4 separate regions of the Mus musculus genome follow, and regions 2, 3 and 4 are each reported to be linked to region 1. Evidence: microRNA targets listed by miRTarBase, many of them from high-throughput screens and not tested one by one. Region 1 holds a microRNA gene; each other region holds the end of a gene's coding sequence.
What was found. The annotated mature microRNA mmu-miR-103-3p reads AGCAGCAUUGUACAGGGCUAUGA and lies in region 1 at 1,826-1,848, opposite strand. An mRNA with a match to its seed (bases 2 to 7 or 8) in the 3' UTR can be bound and repressed. Matches are read on the target gene's strand: a 7mer-m8 pairs with bases 2 to 8, a 7mer-A1 pairs with bases 2 to 7 and ends in A, and an 8mer does both.

Region 1 (5,076 bases):
AATGAAAGACAAAACTAGTTGCTGAGGAGCACAAGTAATGTGGCAGACAGACTGTGGACACTCAGACAGCATGTACTCTGATGACAAAATGAGACACTAACAGTGAGAAGTGGAGTATTAAAGTGAGGTATATGGTGCCAAGTTAACAAGGCATAAGTTTGAGATGGGCAATACTGATTGTCAGCATAACTGGAGTAGGAAGCACCCAGAGCATTAGTGTGGCAGACCTTTGGCTGTGTCTTGTGTAGAGGAGTAATTAAGAAGACTTGTCTTGAATGTGGTAATACCATCCTACACTGAAAAAAAGGGGAGAAGAGACATACCAGCTGAGAGCCAGCATTCATCTGTTCCCTAGCATATTCAGATATAAATAAACAGCGTCACACTTTGCCCCAAGTGACTATACCACCATGCCTTCCCTACCATGACAGTCTATACTCTCACCTGTCAGCCAAAGTAAATCCTGCTCCTAAGTGACTTTTGTCAGGGATTTGGTCAGAGCAAGGAGAAAAATTACCCAAACAGGACATGACACAAAATAACAAATTATGCAAAGTATGGGACAGTTAAAAACAATTCACCTTCATCTGTGAACCAAGAAAGCAAAATCTTACAGCTGTTTAACAGAGTGAAATTCCACCCACAGCATCAGTAAAGCTGTCCAGCCATCAATGCTAAAGATGCTGCTCTGAATGGGCACACACCTGTGCAAAACCCCTTGGTAACCTACTAGGATTCATTAAGTACAATCACGATGTAGGATCACAAGGTTTGCTCCCAAGAAAGCCCCATATCAAGAATAAAACAGCCAAAGAACAGGCTCATACTTCTAAATACTTACCACAGTCCCTACTTCCAAGAAACCAAATGCCCAACTCTATTTAAATAATTATGACAAAATAAGAATCTGATCAAATATACAGTGATGACCTCAGAAGATAGCTTAGTCAGCAAAGTGCTTCCATGTGAACATGAGGCTGAGTGGAATTCCCGAGTCCACATAGGAAAGCAGTGGCATTGGCACATTTATAATCCCAGCGCTAGAAATTGAGGCAGGCAGATCCTAGGGATTCACTGGACAGTTACCCAGCCTAATCAACAAGTTTCAACTGGTGAGAGACCTTGTCTCAAAAACTAAGGTGAGCCAGGCATTGTGGCATACACCTTTAATCCCAGCACTAGGGAAGCAGACACAGCAAGGTCTCTAGGAGTTTGAGGTCCTTAACCAGTTTAAAAATAAAAAGCCGGGCAGTGGTAATACACACCTTTAACCCCAGCACTTGGGAAACAGAAGCACACAAGTCTGAGCTGGAGGCCAGTCTAGTATACAAAGGAAGTTCCAGGATAGCCAGGCCTACACAGAGAAAACCTGTTTCAAAAAGCCAAAACCAAAATAAAATAAAACAAACAAGGTAGACAGAACCTGAGAAACACCCTAGGTTGACCTCTAACCTCCACACCTACACATGTATACACATGTATTCACATAAACAAAATGTAGCCACAAACCATGTATTTCAATTAAAAGCATAAAATGTATGCACAACAACTAAAAGTTTTTGATACTTAAGCCCAGGAAAGCAAACATATAAGAGTGATGTTATTCAAATGAAGATGGAATTTTTAAAATCTGGTGTTTAATAACTTCTAAATAAATTAAAATTTAGACAAATCCTTTTAGGTCTTGAGGTCTCTTTTTAAGGCACATGCCTATATTATTAAAAGAATTATTGTAAACCAAAGTGTATAAATAGGGACAAGCCATAAGCTGCACCAACTGGATCCTAGATCCTCTTTCCCTAAGGGCAGCCCATTCTTGGTTCTTTCATAGCCCTGTACAATGCTGCTTGACCTGAATGCTACAAGGCAGCACTGTAAAGAAGCTGAAAGCACGAAGACAGCTCTGCTGAGGTGGAGAAGAACCAAGGTGGGCCTTCCTCTGACCGCTCAGTCTTCTCCCAGCTCCAGTGGCTTCCTGTGGCTTCCTGTCCACACCTCAACAGCACCCAGCAAACACAGCGTCTAGTCACCATTGTGACCCGTCATTCATCCCATCAGTAGCTCAAGACTGGCCTTCTTCCTGGCCCCCTCTAGAGTCTCCTCAAAGAAACCATTCACCTCTTGCAGTAGTGCTTATCTTCAGGAAGAGACAAGGAGTATGGTGGGGAATGGGAGGACAATCAATGAAGAGGAGGAGGAATCTGAAGAGTGTAAAGTTCACATTTCAAGTCTACCCCATATAACTACATTTGGGCACGTTTTAAGAAGACAGACACTGTAAGGTCAGGGTAGGACCCATTTAGGAAGGTCAGCATTTCCCTAGAGTGAACAGAACAATCTCATGTGCCCTTACTTCATTAAGGGCACACATTCTTGCTATGGAGCCAATGTTGTTGGTGATGGTGATCAAAGTTGCTCTGGCAAGATCCTCCTTACTGGCCGCCTCTCTCTTCTCCTTGCTCATCATGTTTCCAAAACTGTGGTGGAGGAAAAACATTTCACTGCTGAAACAAAGGCAACACAGTCCAGGAGAACTTCAATGTTACTTTACTATGATAAAATGACTTTACATCAAGTCTTTCTGTTTTATTACAGAATGATGGGAGCATCCACTGAAAGGAACTCAGTTAAAAAAAAAAAAAAAGCCTACAAATTACACTCTAAATGAACAGGTAGCATTCCCTGTCATACTAAAATTCAACTTTGGTACCAGATAGTTCCCTATCCAAGTGCATTCAGTACAATTTCCGAAAGGTAGCACTGCCTGATCTAACAACGGAGTATTCCAGGGAGACATACCTGACTGGCAGGTCATCGCTACTGTGCAACTGTTCTACTCAGACAGTCACAGTTACATCTAGTCTAGAAAACTCATTTGATCAGCACACAAAGTACAAAACAGCTGAGGCCCACAGTGGCTACTAAAGTTCCAGGCTGCCCTAGAAAGTAAATAAAAGACTTCAAATTTCTTGACCAGCAAAAGGGCTACAATAGTAACTATGACCCAAACCCAAGGACAAGAATAAGGAAGAGATGACCAGTGATCAAATGCTGCCAAAAAAACAATCTATTTTATTTATCCAGTGCCTATTTCCCAGCTTGCACATGAATGCCTTTTCTATTATTAAAAACCAAGTACTCTGCTGGGCATGGTGGCGCACACCTTTAATTGGCACTTAAGAGACAGAGGCAGATAGATTTCTGAGAGTCTAAGGAGAGACTGGTCTGCATAGCAAGTTAAAGTCTAGACAGGGCTACATAGTGAGACCTGGACTCAAAAACAGAACAAAACAGAAAACACATGTGCTCTTAACACAAAAATACAAAAATTGCATACGTAGGGGAGCTGGAAAACTGGCTCAGTGTAAGAGCACTGACTGCTCTTCCAGAGGACCCTTTCAGTTCCCAGAACCCACATATCAGCTAAGTGTCTGTAAGTATTTAATTTCAGTCCTAGGAAATCTGATGCCCTCTTCTGGTCTCCATGGGTACCTGGCACACACATGTTACACAGATATAAATTCAGGTAAAACACCCATACACATAAAAGTAATTATTTTTAAAAACTACATACCTAAATAAACAAAATAAAATATAGAAAGGCCCATGCTAAGCATGGTGGCACAGGCCAGCATCTCAGCATCTGAAAGACCAAGACAGACCTGGGCTTCACAGTGAAATCCTGACTCAAAAACAGCATGAGGAAGACAGAGAAAAAGACTTCCACTTTTTATAGAATTAAAGAGAACTAAATAGGCATTTACTTAGCAAAAGAAATATAATGCTTGTGTACTAAAATCTTTTGCAGTTTAAAGACAACCACCACCTAAAGAAATGGAAAGAAGTCCATCTTCCTGAACCAAAGACTTGACAGTGTTAAGCTGGTAACACTCAGGTCTATAGAGATGGCTCAGCAGCTAAGAACACTTGCTCTAAAGGACCCAGGTTCTATTCCCAACACCCAAATGAAGGCTCATAACTGTGTTTCCAGATCGATATCCTCTTGTGACCTCACGACCACCAGGCACACCGTGAGTATACATACAAACATCCAAGAAAAACACAAATTTTTAAAATAATTAAAAAGAAAAATTGAAAAGAAAATTAAGATTAAAAGAAATTAAAAGAAAATTTACTCTTCAAACTGGTCAACAGATTCAATACAATCCCTATTAAAATCCTAGCTATCTTCTTTACAGACATTACCAAGTTGATACTAAAATTCATATAGAAAGTCAAAGAATTCAAAGCAGCCAAAATAATTGTGGAAAGGTAGAGCAAGTTAGAGAAGTGTGCCCTGTACCTCTGCCACCTTCCCCTAAAAACTTAGTGCAAGGCTGCGGTAAGCAAGGGAACATGGTACTTCTCTAAAGACAAATGTACAGGACTGAGAATCAAAAATTCAACTGAGGGCTGGAGAGATGGCTCAGTGGTTAAGAGCACTGACTGCACTTCCAAAAGTTTTGAGTTCAAATCGTGGCTCACAATCATCTGTAATGAGATCTGACGCCCTCTTCTGGTGTGTCTGAAGACAACTACGGTGTACTTACATATAACAATAAATACATCATCTTTTTGTTGTTGTTGTTGTTTTGTTTTTTGTTGTTGTTTTTTTTTTTTTTTTTTTTTGGTTTTTTGAGACAGGGTTTCTCTGTATAGCCTTGGCTGTCCTGGAACTCACTCTGTAGACCAGGCTGGCCTCGAACTCAGAAATCCGCCTGCCTCTGCCTCCCAAGTGCTGGGATTAAAGGCGTGCACCACCACTGCCCGGCAATAAATACATCTTTAAAAAAAAAGAGAGAATTCAACTGAAACATCTACAGTCAACTGATTTGCTAACAAAGGGCTCAAAAGACTAGGGAAAGCAGTCTCAGCAGATGGGTCAGCTGGACCAAGTGAGAAACACCATGTAAGAGTGAGTATGAAACTCTATCACACACTATACAGAAAAACTAACCCATGAATGGCATTATAAACTCTTAGAAGTGAATCCTCACAATCTTAGATGGGGCAAATGACACTAAAAGCACAGGAGATAAACACATAAAGACAGGTTTCACCAGAACTTCTGCTGGC
Region 2 (5,076 bases), not on the chromosome of region 1:
CAAGAATATGCAAGAAACAGACCAATCAGAAATATGTATGATCCAGTTTTATGGCTCATCCCCTTCTGCCTCAGAGGAGAGATGGACAATTTCCCATCTGTGTCACAGCACAACCACTTGCAAACTTCATCTGTGAAAATCTTGCACTGGCTGGAGTATATTTAAAATGCCTCTACAGTTGGGAATTTAAGAGTAAGTGGGAGCCGGTGAGGGAGGTCATTAACGGCTTCCTAAATGGATTTGATGAAGCGTGGAAGTCATTCTGCTTTTGAGCCAACAGAGGTGGTGCAGAGAGCCTTCCGACATATTTCTGATTGGGGCTGTGAAAAAGCTGTAAATTCGCGACAGTAGTGCACTTCCACACACCAACAGTCTCAGTGACACTGGAGACGCTTCCCTTCAATGGATGTGTTTACAAATATGAAAGTCTAAAGGTGCCAGGTTTCTACCTAGGAACAACCGACCCTTCCTTTCAGGAATCATTTTGTTCTGGGGAAGAGGGGAAAGAGCAGGGGACGGCGGAGAAGCAGTTGAAAAGGGGCCTCAACAGTCAGAAGAAAACAGCTGCAGCAGTTCCTTGGAGGGCCTGAGGGGGGCGCCCCGGACACACAGGAAGGCTTGCATAGATTGAGCAGCTGCTGAGATGCTGATAGTGGTTCCCTGTGGCCAGCTTCAGCACAGGGCTGATGGAGCAGAAGGCCAGGCCAGGGCCACGTGGGATAGCGACTGTCAAGCTACGCATATATTGCACCCAAGTAAGTGCTCTTTTTACACCTCAACTTAACTTTTATTCTGAGCAAAAAATAAAACTTTGGGGAAAGTATATATATGTATATATACATACACAACAGAAATTGCAGCAATTGGGTTAAAGATAAAAGTAACCTAAAGTGCTTTTTATTTTATTATTTAAAATATCAATATGAGGTTCTGCAAATTTGTCCCTCTGGACACATTCAGCATAATACAAAGCCTCAGGCAAAACTCAGGCACCTCCATTACCCCATCAGCCCACTGCCTTGATCCGGAAAACAACCTTTTCCCATCCACTGACTCTGAAAGGGAAGGGGAGTCCCATTGCCTTCTACCTAGAGGGCTCTCCACACCCCAAGCCTCTCCTTGGCATTGTACCATCATCTTATGAACCAAAGTCAACAGAGGACAGTACTCCTGTGGCCAAACTAGTGCTGCCCAAGGGCACTGAGCTCTCTTCTCTCAGCCTTACCCTCCTGCCTGGGAAGGACCACATTTATAAGGCAATTGGGTGGGACCAAGATCACCTGACCACCTCCTAGGTCCATCAGCCCTGCTGCCAACTAGTCTCTTGGAAGAGGCTAAACTGGAGATGCTAGTGGTAACCCAAGTCTCGTCTACAGGGTGACAGTGGTGATGGCTGTCGTGGAAGGAAAGGCTTAATCGACTTGCCAGAATTCACTCTTCTTGGCCTTACCCTAAGGTCATTCCCTGGCGAAACCACTCCATGAAGGGTCTTCGTGGTTCTAGTTTAGCCAGGAGGTTCCCTCTTCTCCAAGGTCCTTAGCATTAGAGGCTGGGCTTGTGGAAAGATGGGGGAAGGACCACTGGTACAAGCATGGCCGAAGCGTCTGTCTACCCTGTTTCACACATTGGCTCTCCACAACCACCAACTGCAAGCAGAGTCCTCACTTTCCAAAACCTCTTAGGTTCTGAGAGTCTCTTGTGTTCTAAAATCACTTAGCTCCTTCACCTAGCAACACTTCAGCCTCAACACTGCTCAAATGTTTCTTCACCATGCCAACTGTGGAGGGTGAAAAGCCAATAACCTAGGAATGGACCATTAAGAGCACAGCCCTAGCAAACCAAGAAGCCATATTTAAACCATTGAAACCTTCCATACATCCTCCCTAGGCTCCTGTTTCCTATGTCAGCTCCCAGGGTGTCATAGGCAGAGTGAGTGGGAGGGCCATTACTACCCCTTGTTACAAGCTCACTTTGGGGGTCCCATTCACTGCTCTCCTCAGAGAAGAGAAACGAGTGAGGGCCCGAGTGCAAAGCTTCCTGTGAGTGCAAGTCCTAGAGACAGCTGAGGACAATCTACACCCAAGCAGCTGGTTCCCAGAAGGACTAACCACGGCGCCAACAGGGGGCTCCTCACACCGTGCAGATTCCTGCTGAGGTCTATGGTTGCCCAAATCCATCAACCTTTTTTGGGTGTGTGTGGGGTGTGGGGGTGTAGAACATCAGAAATTCATACTCCTGGTCCAATCCTGGAATGGGAGATCAGCTGCTTGTACCTGTGCCATTTCTCAATAGTGCTGCCATGACCCTCTTGGCCAATTGTCCCTAAATACCTTGCCTAAAGACAAGGGTCACCATCCTAGCTGGCTCTGAGGAAAGGTCCAGACTGCAGGAGGGCAACCTACACAGCTCTCTGGTTGTCCTGTTGGGGCACCAGACCCTGCTCTTTGCTGGAGACAGACGCCTCCTCCAGTCCCAGACCCAGCTACCTTCTGACCTTGCCAAGCACTGATGGCTACAGTAAACAGCCGAAGGACAGCCACACCCCCATTCTCCTATAGATTGTACTTATGTTTGAAGAGGCAATAACCAGGAGCCAAAGGCAAGGAGATGGGTATAATTTTATACACTAATAAAAAAAAATTCCTGTAACACAACTCAACAAAACATTCCAAATGAGGTAAACTGACTGCAAGCTTCAGGCTTTTTGGTGGAAGGGGTTTGTTTGTTTGTTTTACCCTGAGTAGAATATCATCATTTTAGGTTTTTATTCCTTTTTGTTTAGAGATCACATCTTCCTTTGCACTGTATGAGGCTGTATGCAAATCTAAGAGACATGAGACATGCAGCTGGGAGAGGATAACCAAAGCCTGGCTACAACTGGGTACCAGAATGCCTGCCGACCACCTGCTGCCTCACCATCTAACTCCTTTAGCTCTGCACTTTCTCTGGAAAAGCAGCCCTTCTGCTCTGAGGAAGCAAACATCATCGAAGGCAGGAAGACCCTGGCAGCCACTGGCCAGAAGCCTCTCATTCACTTTAGGATAAAACAGGGCGCTTCCGTAGGAGAGATGAACTTCAAGCCTCAAGCACTAACAAGCACTGAGAGATGGAAAGAGCCAAGAAGGCAAGACTGTGGCTGTGCTAGATAGCTCTAGGGTCTAGCACATTATCAACAGAGCTGTCAACAACTGCCTCGGGGCCCTGCAGAACCACATCTTCCCTCTGGCCAGGAGGCCTGCAGCTGCCCGCTAGGACTAAGCAGGACACAGGGCAGCCCCCTCTGCATCTACCCCAAGCTCCACAGAAACCAAGTGCCAACAACAAAGCAACTCACCCAGTCTAACTCACGCCTGCCCTTGCCACTCCCCGCTTTCATAGAGCGGTGGTCTGGCCCTCCAGGTACTGCCTCGGATTAAACAGACACAGAAGAGAAGCAACACCCGGCAGGCACAGTGGCCTCTCCTGCCCAATCCACAGTGACCCCAGTGCAAATGATGGGCAGTACCAAAGTGATGGAAACCACACCCTTTCATTTAGAACTTTTATGCATACACGTAACCTTAGTTTCCAAGTTCACATAACAATAAGCAAAAGTGACACACAGTGCAGCCAGACAGTTCACTTATAACTTAGCTTTTTTTTTTCTTTTTTTGTTTTTGTTTTTTGTTTTTTCCTCCAAAGATCAGTTCCTTAAAATGGATGTTCCTGGGATACGAGTAAAGAAAATACGTCTGAAAGGTGAGCTTTCAGATGGCAGATTTCTTCATCCTTCCAATTTCTGACCCCATGACGGCAGCATCACAGCCGGTACTTCCTGCTCACCCTGTTCCTGGAGGGGTGTGCGCACAGGCCCTTCCCCTGGAGAAGCTGCCGGCCAGGCTCTTTCCTCTACCCCTGCAGTAGTGCTTCACTGTGAACCGGATTGGACGGGGTGTCCAGGCTCTGGAGGGACAGGAACTCTGACACATCCATGGCACTTAACGTTTCGGAGGGTCTGAGGAGCCTCAGCCTGTCTGCTGTGCTCACAGGAAGAGGGTCCAGCGGAGGGGGGGGGGGGGGGCAGGGATGAGGGAGAAGTCTAGGGTGGCAGCTGCAGGCTGGGCCCATCAGGAGGCTGGGGGTTCGGCTCTGGAGGGGGTGGGGAAGAACATCCCTTTCTCCGGCCGGCCGCCCGCTCCTTCGCAGAGTCCCGGCACGCGCACTGACACTGACAGGCCTCCTCTTGTTTGATGATGATCACAGGAACACTGAGGCCAATCTGCTGAACAGAGCTCCCTGTGAGAGAGGCGAGAGAGACTGCTCTTCAAGTGGCCAGGAACAGGCATGAGGGGCAGGGGAGTAAGGTAAGGACGGGGGGGGGTGGGGGGGGGGGTGGGGGGGGGTGGGACCTGACTGCTGGGAGGCAGGAGTGACAGACAGGAGAGACGCCATGCTTTGGCTTTTGCTATGCTGGTCCGGGTTCTTTCTCAGGGAAAAAGCCTGTGCGGATTCTCCCATCCACGATGATGCTTCCTTCTTAGAAGACTCACCCACATCATCTAGATGCACCCTGTCCTCTGTGCCGCGTCTGCAGCCACAGCAGACGCCACCCTTCTTACTCTGAGCCCTCCCTTTTGCTTAAACTTGCTTGGGGCAGACAGTGCCCGCATCTTTCAAGGACCAATTCGCTCCCTGTTCTCTTCCTGCCCCAGGTGGTGACCCCTGACTAACCACTGGAGGCAGTACTGAGCACCAGGCGCATGCACACAGCATTGCTGCTTGCATTCCATACCCTCTCCACACAGCACAGGACCTGCTCTGACCCCAGCTCCTGAGGTCATTGCACTTCTCTATGTGGCTCATGTTTGACGTGTGGGAGATGTCGAGTGGACTGATCTCCTCCCCAGCCAGCCTGGAATGTGTGCCCGTTCGTATCCATTCGCATTTCACCCCCACGTGTGTCACTTACACATACGCTCTGTCCTCAGCCAGGTTCTGTGTAGACAGAGCTGAAGGCTACTAAGAGGACACAGGGTGGGATGAGGTGGTCAGAGGGCTTCCTACAGGTTCATTTATGGCCTTTAGGAGGCAATGAAT
Region 3 (5,076 bases), not on the chromosome of region 1:
GGCCTGAGCACTTTGGTGCATAAAACAAACACTCGGTAAAAATAAACAAACAGATAATAAATAAATAAATAAATAAATACCCTGTCCAGGCTCTTGCTGAGTGTCCTTCCTAGGGCTACCTCCACCATCTCTTTTTAAAGATTTTATTTATTATGTATACAGCATTCTGCCTCCATGTATGCTTGCAGGCCAAAGGGCACCAGATATCATTATAGTTGGTTGTGAGCCACCATGTGGTTGCTGGGAATTTAACTCAGGACCTCTGGAAGAGCAGCCAGTGCGCTTGACCTCTGAGCCATCTCTCCAGCTCCCAGGGCAGCATCTCTTGTTGAGTTCCTCCAAAACTAAAGATTGTCTAAGTCTTAATTACATTTCTAATTCTTAATTACATTTCTTCTACATTGTAGGAGACTACTTTGCAGGGAACACAGTACCTGGGCTAGTCATTTATAAAATTAGGAGCGTTGGTACATACTGGTATAAGCATGCTATATAATTTCTTTATTTTATGATAATTTTCTAAACTATTTGTATGCATGTGGGTGTGTGCACCTGAGTGGAGGTGCCTGCAGGGTCAGAGGTATTGGATCCCTCTGGAGCTGGAGTTACAGTCAGTTGTAAGCTACCAGATGTGGTTCTAACTCTGACTAATGCCAGAGCCGTAGGTGCTCTTAGCTACTGAGCTATGGCTCCAGCCCCAAAATAATGTATGCTTTAGATTACTGTTGTTTTTATGGTTATCACTGTGTGTGTGCATGATGTGTGAACGCAGGTGTGTGTATGCCACGTGTCTCATGTGGAGGTGAGAGGCATTGGTGTTCTCTTTGCTCCTTAACACAGAATCAGGGGATCAAACTCCAGTCGTCAGGTTTGCACAGCAGTGCCTGTTGGAACCATCTTGCCAGCCCCTAGGAGCTAAATCTTGCAGGAGCCAATTACCTCTCTTGGTTGATAGGGTAGCTTTGTTTACAATGAGGTCACATTACAATCCTTAACTAAAGCCCTCAAAAACACAGGAGATGCACTAGCTGGCTCCCCTACACCCCACTCTCACTAAATTCCTTGACCGATACTCGAACAAAACCAGAGAGAATTCGGTTTCTTATTAATAGAACAAAGAAGGGTGTGCATACGCCTGGATTCTACCTGTTGCACTTAGGTCAATAGCCAGGACCTGTAGCCAATCATATTCAAGGAGCAGAATGGCCTCAGCCTGTGAGATGAGGCACCTATGGAGGTTGGCACTGGATACTGTTCCATCTGTGCCTGGCTTCTGGCACTTGGGAGCCATCACTGGCCGCTATTCCACTGACTTCGGTCCTATGCTAACTTAACATGCTTGGGGAGGGGATCTTCTCCACACTGCCATTTCCATATCAAACTGATGCCACTCCATGGTCTACCCACTGCAGACAGAGCCCGTGCCACCGTTCTTGTCCCCATCCCATCAAGTAGGGCCAGCAACTGCAAAGCAACTCTGAAGTCAGACTTCCACCTGCCACCAGGTCCTTAAGAACAAGAAGGAAAGGCCTGTGAAGACAGCTCAGCACAATGAGTAAGATCTGCATTCAGACCCCTAATGCCCACAGAAAAGCTGGGCTCACTGGCACACACCTGAGGCCCGGGTGATGTGTGTGTGTGTGTGGCAGGAGAGAGCATGAGTTAGACCCCCAGAATCTGCAGGCTAGCAGTCTCATCAATCAGTGACCTGTGGGGAGAGACCCTGCCTCAGAATGCCAGGTACTGAGCAACAGAGGGGACAACCCATCATCAACCCCTGCTCTCCCTGTGCACACACAGGTATACACAGGTACTGGCACATGTGTGTGTGGACACTCACACACATACATGTGGACACTTACACACACACATGACTGGAGAAGACATCTTGGAGAGGGATCAAATATTAAGGACACATTCATGGAGATTCAGTTTTTCTCCCTCACTTTCTTTCTTTCTTTTTTTTTTAAAGTAGCCTTTTTCTTTATGTTTTCCTTTTTCTTTTTGTTTATATATTTTCTGGCCCTGCTTGCTCCGGCCTTATTTATTTTATAAATGTGAGTACACTATTGCTCTCTTCAGATACCAGAAGAGGGCACCAAATCCCATTATAGATGGTTGTGAGCCACCATGTGGTTGCTGGGAATTAAACTCAGGACCTCTGGAAGAGCAGTCAGTGCTCTTAACTGCTCTTCAGCCCTCTCCCTCACTTTCAACAAATGAAATAAGCCCGTCTTCCACCCTTATTTTATCAATAGGGAGACCCCACCAGATACAGGTCAATGTCCTATGTCATAGGGATAACCTGGCCACTGATCTGTATTGTGTTCTCTGAAACCACCCTCATAACAACGGGACCCCACACCCCTCTCACACTCCCTGTGAGTGGCAGCCCCAGCTCCTCAAATCAGTGTTAGTCCTTTCTCCTCAGCCCCATTCTAATGAACAACTCTGCCTAAGGCCAGGCATGGTGGCACACATGGCTACTCTACTGCCACGAACACCACCAGGTAAGGATTGGTCCCTGGGCTCAGATGGACTGGACAGCAGCAGTGGGGATGGAGGGACTGCGGCTTTGCTCTTGCCCTTTGCCTGGCAGTCATCTGGGAGCCCAAACCTGTGGCTCTGCTTGTCTCTGAGGAATGATCCTTCCAGGCAAGTGGGTGTCTGACTTACCCAAGTCCTTAGCGTTGTTTGACACACGTGTCGAGGGAACAATCCTATTCAGAGAACAGCAGTCAGGGAGAAACAATAGAGGGCTAGAGAGATGGCTCAGCGTGAGCGTGAGTGTGTGCGTGAGTGTGAGCGCTAACTGCTTGCAGAAGACTCAGGTTTGGTTCCTAACACTTACATCAGACAGCTCATACTGCCTATAACTTCAGTTCCAGGGAGCCCAATGTCCTCAGGCCTCTGAGGGCACCTGCACACACGTGGTACACACAAATAAAATAAAGATCTTCTTTTTTTAAAGAAGAAATAATAAGAGCCAACAGATGACTCAACAGATAGAGGCATTTGCCACCAAGCCTGATAGCCCGAGTTCAGTCTCTGGGACCCACATAGAGGAAGAAGTGAGCTGCATCCTGCAAACTGTCCTGACGAGCATTTATCAGCAGCAGCAGCAGCAGCAATGTGTTGTGGCACACCTGTATCTAAGTGCTTGGGAGGCAGAGACAGAAAGACTGCTGAAAGTTCAAAAGTTCAAGGCCTGCCAGTGTATACACTGAGATCCTGTCTGAAATAAATCAAAAGAGGAGGAAGAAAACTGTGAGCTTTCACAAGTGGACACACGTGCTTCGGGACTGTCCGCCCCTTCTGCTTAGACAGAGGTCACATCATCCCGCAGAACTGCAAGGGCACAGACAGGCACTAGCTCACCTGAGTGCCCCACGAACATTCAACCCCCAGTGTGGCCTCTCTGCATCTTCTGGCTACTTCGCCCACCTGGGCCACTTCCCCTTGGACCCAATCTCCTCTCCAGAGAGGACACACTGTGGAGCACGGAAGCCTGGACCTGCTGGTGTCTACCCTGCCTACTTGCACCTTATTGCTGGTCTAGTGTAGTAGATGTTTTCCCACTTCAAGGGTCAGGGTTTCTGCCTGGAGCATATTGGGAGGAAGCCGCTGCTTAACAGACTGACGGACACAGCATGGCACAGATAAGAGGGCGTGTGGACTCTGAGAGGAGACAAGACGCACTCACAGCTGAGTCACTGAACAGGACGAGGAGCACAGCGGCTTCCTCGCAAGGTCCCTGTGCAGCAAGGTCCCTGTGCAGCAAGGTCCCTGTGCAGGGAGCTGGTGTGAGCTGGCACGTGACTGCCGCCTCACCCCCCCAGGCTCACTCGGGCACCTGACAGATGGCGTGTATGCCGGCTGGGATTCAGATCCACAGCTGCCTGGTTCTCAAGCCCGTTCGTTTCTTTCTATACAGGTGGTCATCTGAGGGGACATCTCTCATGGGGCTGGGAGATCGGTGACGGGACCTCCAGAATAAATTAACTGCCTTCAGGGCAAAGTAAAAGAACAGATAGGCAAAAATGAGAAACACAGAGAAGAAGCAAAAAAACTCCAAATTCTCCCCAAATTGCATATCGTTTCTGTCTGGAAAAGCAGACATAAAAGACGCTGGAGACATGGCTGCAATGACGAGAACCACCTCACCAAATGTCAGTTACGATTTCTTGCTTTCAGCCAACAAGATCAAAGAATATTCCAGAACTGATGCTGTTCCAAGAGCAGAAGGCTTCTCAGTTCCAAGTGACTCCAGGGCAGCTAAGCGCTCGCCGTAAGCTCCAGACACTCAGTTTTGTTTCCTATACTGCAAGACAGAGAGATGAGAGACGGGTGAGGGAAGCCATGGGGGAGGGCTCTGTTGTGTCACACGGGCCTCTCCACGACTGCAGGGGTTTCTGGGAGGTGGTGAGACTCCATCGGGAGACCCTTCACCTTCACATCGAGTTGGTGCCTAGGCCCTCCTTCTTTAATGAAAAGGCTGGGAGGCCGAGGGCACTGGGACTAAGCATGGAACTCACCAGGGCTCGGCCTTATTCTGAATCTTGTTTGTGGGAGAAAAGTCCCAGGCAGAGGAGACCCTCAGACACCCAGGGTCCCCAGCCAATCATCGAGGCTTTCCTGCCTTTGTTTTGATTTTTCTGTCAGGGATAAGCCCCAGCGGCTTCTGCACTAGGCAAGCAGTCGACCACTGAGGTCAATGCCCTATCAAAATCTGTTTTTACAAAGTGGATTTTAAACCCCACATCTGGAGCGTCTGCGCTAGGACAACAAGGATCTGGGGGCACACTCCAGTTCTCCACATTCCTGGTGCCTTTATCCCACCTACAGTCTAGGTGTTGGTCCTAGACAGCAGCCTAGTCTTGATCAACTTCACACAAACTCGAGCCACCTGGGAAGAGGCACCCTCAGCTTCTACCGGATTGGCCTATAGGTGTCTGTGAGGTATTTTCTTAATAAATGGTTGATATGGAGGGCCCAGACTACTGTGGGTGGTACCACCACCAGGTCCTGGGGTGAATAGGGCAGCTGAGGGAGCCATGGGAACCAAGCCAGTTAGCC
Region 4 (5,059 bases), not on the chromosome of region 1:
AATCTTTTCCATTTCAGGCCGCAGGCCTCACGCCTCGCTGCTCTACAGGACTCCTGAGGTCTTCTGCTCTTCTGCAGCCTGGCGCCTGGCACTGCGCAGCTGGAGGTAACGGTAGGCTCGTACACTGCAGAGGTAACCCCCATACACAGTGAGGAGCATCATCGAGGCAGAGAAGGTCTTGTAGCCGATATCGGCTAGCTGCTTGGCAGATGGCATGTCTTCCCCTACAAAGACAGATTGGAGTTGGTCTGCAGGATAGGCCTCTCCTCCTTCCCGGAGAGCCATTCCTTATTTTCATCTTCACGGATGCATCCTATGCTGGTGACTCCTGTGTGGCTGCTCTTAAAAGAGTTAAGCATGGGGCTGGTGAGATGGCTCAGTGGGTAAGAGCACCCGACTGCTCTTCCGAAGGTCCGAAGTTCAAATCCCAGCAACCACATGGTGGCTCACAACCACCCGTAATGAGATCTGATGCCCTCTTCTGGAGTGTCTGAAGACAGCTACAGTGTACTTACATATAATAAATAAATAAATCTTTAAAAAAAAAAAAAAAAAAAAAAAAAAAAGAGTTAAGCATGGCAGTTTCAGAGCTCTGACTCAAAACATCTACACCCGAGGTACAGAAGGCCGGAAACAGGTGTATATGATGCGATGCCATCAGAGCTAACACAGGCTCTCCTTATTTGTGCTTAAAAAGTGACCAGCCGGGGCTGGAGAGATGGCTCAGTGGTTAAGAGCACTGACTGCTCTTCCAGAGGTCTTGAGTTCAATTCCCAGCAACCACATGGTGGCTCACAACCATCTGTCATGGGATCCAATGCCCTCTTCTGGTGTGTCTGAAGACAGCTATAGTGTATTCATATACATAAAATCCAGAAATAAATCTCTTTAAAAAAAAAAAGTGACCAGCCCACCCAGACTATACTAGGAATCAAACCTGGGTCCTCTGGAAGAACAGCAAGGCTCTTAACTGCTGAGCCATCTCTCCAGCCTCAGAACCATATTTTAATCAGGCTACTTATTGTGGTAGTGAAATTCTCCCGAGAGAGGACCTGAAGATAGACTTGAGGATGTGTGTGTCTGGGGGATCCTGCCTGTAGAGTGCCAGAGTCACTTCGCCCTGGTGAAAAGCTAATTTCACCTTGTTCACTGATAGAGAAGATTTGAGTATGATTTAAAGTGGGATGTAACTCAGTGTAGCAGGCACAAAGCCAGAGGTTCAGTCCCCAGAACTGCATTAAACAGAGCATGTGGTATATGCTGGAAATCCCAGCACTCAGGATGTGGACATGAGACCCTGTCAAAAACAAAAAACAAAAAAACGGGGGGGGGGTGTGAAACAAAAAGAAGCAAATCCGAGATAACCTCAAAAACAAACAATAAAACCCTGAAGTTAGAAGCCCAGATACAAGGATTAACTTTGGAAATAAAAGAAACTCTTGAGACTGGCAGAAGGTTTTCATCTGATGGGCATCCTTTACAAAACAAATAAGGATCAAAGCCCTAAAACCACCCCAGCTTCTGTCATTTAGCCCTCTTTGGAGAGACTTGGTGTCCGCAGAAAACAACTTCTGACTAACGGAGCCCAGAAAGGTAAGCTATGAACCCCATATTCTGTAGGATCAGAGAAGGTGGTGAGGACCTCAGAGAAATAAGTGGCTTTGAGGGACCGTGAGGAGCTTTGGGGTTGAGGCGAGCAGTTTCAGAAGGGAGGACAGCCAGGCCGCAGTCACACCAGGAAGGCGGTCGGACTATGACAGCCGGGGAGCCAGCAGGGGCTAGCACAGCGCAGGGACTAGGAGCCGCGCGCTCTCAAGGGCACAGGCCGAGGACGCGCGGTGCGGGACACAGGGGAGCGGAGGGGAGCGCGGTGCGGGGCACAGGGGACAGCAGGGACTCGGAACGGGGAGCAGGGGAACAGCGTGAAAAGCGGCGACACGGGGAGCAGGGGGCGCGGTGCGCCGAGCAGGAGAGCGTGGGGGGAGGGCGAGTGCGCTTGGCCGTCCGGCCCGCGGCCTACCTGGAGGCTGCAACTCGGCCGCGTCAGAGCGATGCCTGCTCAGTCTGCCACTCGCAGAGTCGCGCGGCCGCCGCAGGGCAGGAAGAGGCAGTCACCAACGCGCAGCTCCTCAGCCACTGGTGCTCAGCCCCGCTCCGGACCCGACACCCCCTGCGAAAACTCGCCCACTAAAGCGAGAGCCAGCCTTGAACTTCCGGCTTCTACCTCTCTCTTACGCACGCTCAGTCTAGCCTTCCTCTCGGAAAGGCCCATTGAATTCTGGGGGGTGTGGTTCTGGTCCATCAAGAGCGCTCCTTGGAAAACGGGAAAAATTTTAGCTCAGAATTAGCCAATCCGCAGTCTAAGTTCAGTGACGTAAACTGTAGCTAGGTAGATCCTCGGAATTCTCCAGCGATGGGCCTAGCGCCCCCTACCGCCTGGAGCGGCCCTTTACAGGGTGATCCGGAGGAACCGACCTTAGCTGGACCAGCACTAGTGAGGCCACAGAATGGGTGTAGGGGGTGAGTCGGGGGATGGGAGGGTGACTCGCTAATATTTCTGCCTTGTGCGCGACCTCCTCGTAGGCAGGCAACGTGACAGACCCTGTAAGAAGCGCTGGGAAGACTGGCTGACAGCTTGGGTGGAAGAGGGGATACGAAGCACAAAAGGGGACGGGGGTGGGGTGGGGGGGTGGAGGTGGGGGCTGTGAGCAGAGTGGACGCCAATGCCGATTGATGCCCGAGTGTGGCTGCTATTAAACAAGGATGATTTTTTCCACTTCTTGTCTTACATTGAGTAAAACATGCATGCAGTGATACATGACCCCACACACTGCCACATAAACTCCCCCAACTCTTCCAGTTTCTGGAAAAACCACACTTTATTGGGTAGACAAGTGGCCTGACAGAAGACCTCAGATTCACAGTTGACTGACTGAGCAAACATAGGTTAAGGTGTTGGAATCTGTCTGCATCCCGCCCCAGTCTCCCGGGGAACAGCTCTGAATTGAGTCATGCGTGGGAGGGTTCCAGCCCAGTCGGGATCGATGACAGGGCCCCCCCTCTTCCCCTTACCCGACAGCTCTGACCTTCACTAAGACGGAATTCTTAAAGGCTAGGAGCAGAGAGGGACCTGGCACCTTAATGTGTTAGTTTAATATCAAGCTGGCCAGAGCCACGGTGTCCCAGTTGCTGCCACACAGGAAATGGAGACCCCTGGTGGAGAGAGAAACCTCCAGCTATTTATAGCTAGCGCTCCAGGCTGCTGATCTGTGACATTCTCTTGCTGCCACCCAACTTTGGAACAGGGCCAGTGCAAAGCAGTCTCCCATCCCCCTCTGATCTCCCTCACCCCAGGGCAGGCAGTTTTCAATTGTCCTTCCCTCGAGTTCCCCAGCTCCTGAGGTGTGTGGGTCCGATCTCGCGAGGACCTTGTTCTGTTCCGAGGACAGCTGGCCTTGGACTAGGACCCACCAACCCTTGTGGAAACCTACTGAACCTTTGAGCTGCTCCTTAGTTCTAAGCCTACAGATGCCGGGTGGCCTTCCAGGCTGGGTGAGAACGACTTGGGCAAAAGGAAAGGGCAGAGTCAAGAATATGGGCTGACAGCCCTGAGGACGATAAACTATAAATCCTACATTCTGTTAGACGTGAAGTTGGTGGTGACTGCAGAGAGAAGCGGCCTTGTGGGGAGGACCCTGAGAAGAAAGGTCAGCAGTAGGAGGGGCTGGCCGGGGCCGGAGCTCCTGACTGGGGAGGTGGACAAATAGGAAGGTCAGGGGAGCCTGAGCCATCTGAGCCTGCTGTGAAAAGAGTGTAGCTCTGTCAGCAGATTAGATTCCTGCTCCCCAAAGAGGGTGCTGGCAGCTGGGTGCAGGCAAGGGAAAGCTGGGAAAGGTCACACAGGGTGGGGAGGCCCTGACAAAGCTCCAGGAACCAGGAAGTCTCTGGGAAGAATGGAGCGCCCCAGGGCCAGAGATGCCTGTGGAGAGCAACTCTTGTGCCAGAGTAGCCTGGGGGAGGGGGAAGTAGAGGCTTCTGAGGAAGCAAGTGTTGCTAGGAGAAGTTAGAGTGGGGTTGTTTGAGAGCTTTGTATTTTGTTAGCAAACAGTGAGATCGTTGATGTTGTGTGGGGCCTGGCAGAGGTCGGCCAAAGGGTCTCTGGGGTCTGTGTCAGCTCAGGCATCCAGACCCTTCCCTTGGCAGCCTTTGCCCCATCTTTCCTGTGGCTGAAGTGCTTCTTCAGTCACTTAATGGGACTTGGGACCGGTTCCCAGTGTGTGTGAGGCAGCAACCGGCAGCCCTTGACTTGGCGCCTTCCCTTCCCCCAACCCCACCCCTGGAGCAGGCACCACTGGGGCTTAGTTCTACACTTCCCAGAGGACAGCAAGGAAGTGTGGATTCTGTGGCGAGCATCTCTAGGTGTGTAGCTGAGCCCCGCAGCCTCCTGTCCTCAGGGTCCTTCAGAGAGGACTCTGCTAGATGGGGAGTCCTGGAGACAGTCCTGATGACGGGTGTCACGTGCTTCCTTCCGCTTGTCTCCGTTGGGGCAAAGGGGCTGCCTGTCCTGGGCCCTGGCCCCATTCACATGTGTTCCGGGTGGTTCTGCAGACAGCGGATGAATTCGCCCACTGGCTGGCCCTCATAGCACACTTTGTACACCGCAGTGAACAAGGGGAACCTAGAGAAAAAGAGCCTCAGCTTCACTCCCTACACACAGTCCACCCTCAACATGCATGCCCACCCAGGTCCAGACTCAGTGCTAGCTCACCACTTCCCTAGCCTCCCGCAGTGGGAGTTCAGCCAGAAGCCAGCTCTCTGTTGCTACCTGCCAGGAATCTGAATTCCTGGCCCTGGGATTTGGGGTCAGGTTGCCATCCACTCTGATCTTTAGCATTCTGCACTTGCTTGACTCAGTCGCATGCAGGCTTTAAATATTGTTTGGTTTTTAACAAGTAAACCATTCAATTCTCTGGACCTCAGTGTCACCGGTTGTAAAATGGGTCCAGTATGATAAAGTAGCAAAGATGTAGTTTATGTTCTATATACTGGTATACTAAGC

Region 2: miRTarBase lists Mtf1 as a target of mmu-miR-103-3p. Seed matches in the 3' UTR shown: 7mer-m8 at 3,793-3,799, 7mer-A1 at 856-862 and 7mer-A1 at 566-572.
Region 3: the mRNA of Lyrm9 is a reported target of mmu-miR-103-3p. Seed matches in the 3' UTR shown: 7mer-A1 at 3,774-3,780, 7mer-A1 at 3,758-3,764 and 7mer-m8 at 316-322.
Region 4: miRTarBase lists Gpd1 as a target of mmu-miR-103-3p. The part of its 3' UTR that is shown has no 7-base or 8-base seed match.

Annotation. Positions count from the first base shown.
Region 1 is chr2:131,284,875-131,289,950 of GRCm38, reverse strand. It overlaps Mir103-2 (microRNA 103-2), which reads right to left and starts at 1,899; the gene lies at 1,814-1,899. It overlaps Pank2 (pantothenate kinase 2), which reads right to left. Exons shown (of 7, transcript NM_153501.2): 5 at 2,354-2,477.
Region 2 is chr4:124,843,346-124,848,421 of GRCm38, reverse strand. Mtf1 (metal response element binding transcription factor 1) reads right to left here. Exons shown (of 11, transcript NM_008636.4): 11 at 1-4,275. The coding sequence ends at 4,079. Among named protein-coding and RNA genes, the nearest start is that of 1110065P20Rik, 4.7 kb to the left of the region's middle.
Region 3 is chr11:78,838,368-78,843,443 of GRCm38, reverse strand. It overlaps Lyrm9 (LYR motif containing 9), which reads right to left. Exons shown (of 4, transcript NM_001076681.2): 4 at 1-4,321. The coding sequence ends at 4,304. Among named protein-coding and RNA genes, the nearest start is that of Lyrm9, 14 kb to the right of the region's middle.
Region 4 is chr15:99,722,810-99,727,868 of GRCm38, reverse strand. It overlaps Gpd1 (glycerol-3-phosphate dehydrogenase 1 (soluble)), which reads right to left. Exons shown (of 8, transcript NM_010271.3): 8 at 2,855-4,678. The coding sequence ends at 4,582. Cox14 (cytochrome c oxidase assembly protein 14) reads right to left here and starts at 2,251. Exons shown (of 2, transcript NM_183256.3): 1 at 2,021-2,251; 2 at 1-224. The coding sequence starts at 216. The coding sequence ends at 43. It overlaps Gm16537 (predicted gene 16537), which reads left to right and starts at 3,395. Exons shown (of 3, transcript NR_155353.1): 1 at 3,395-3,552.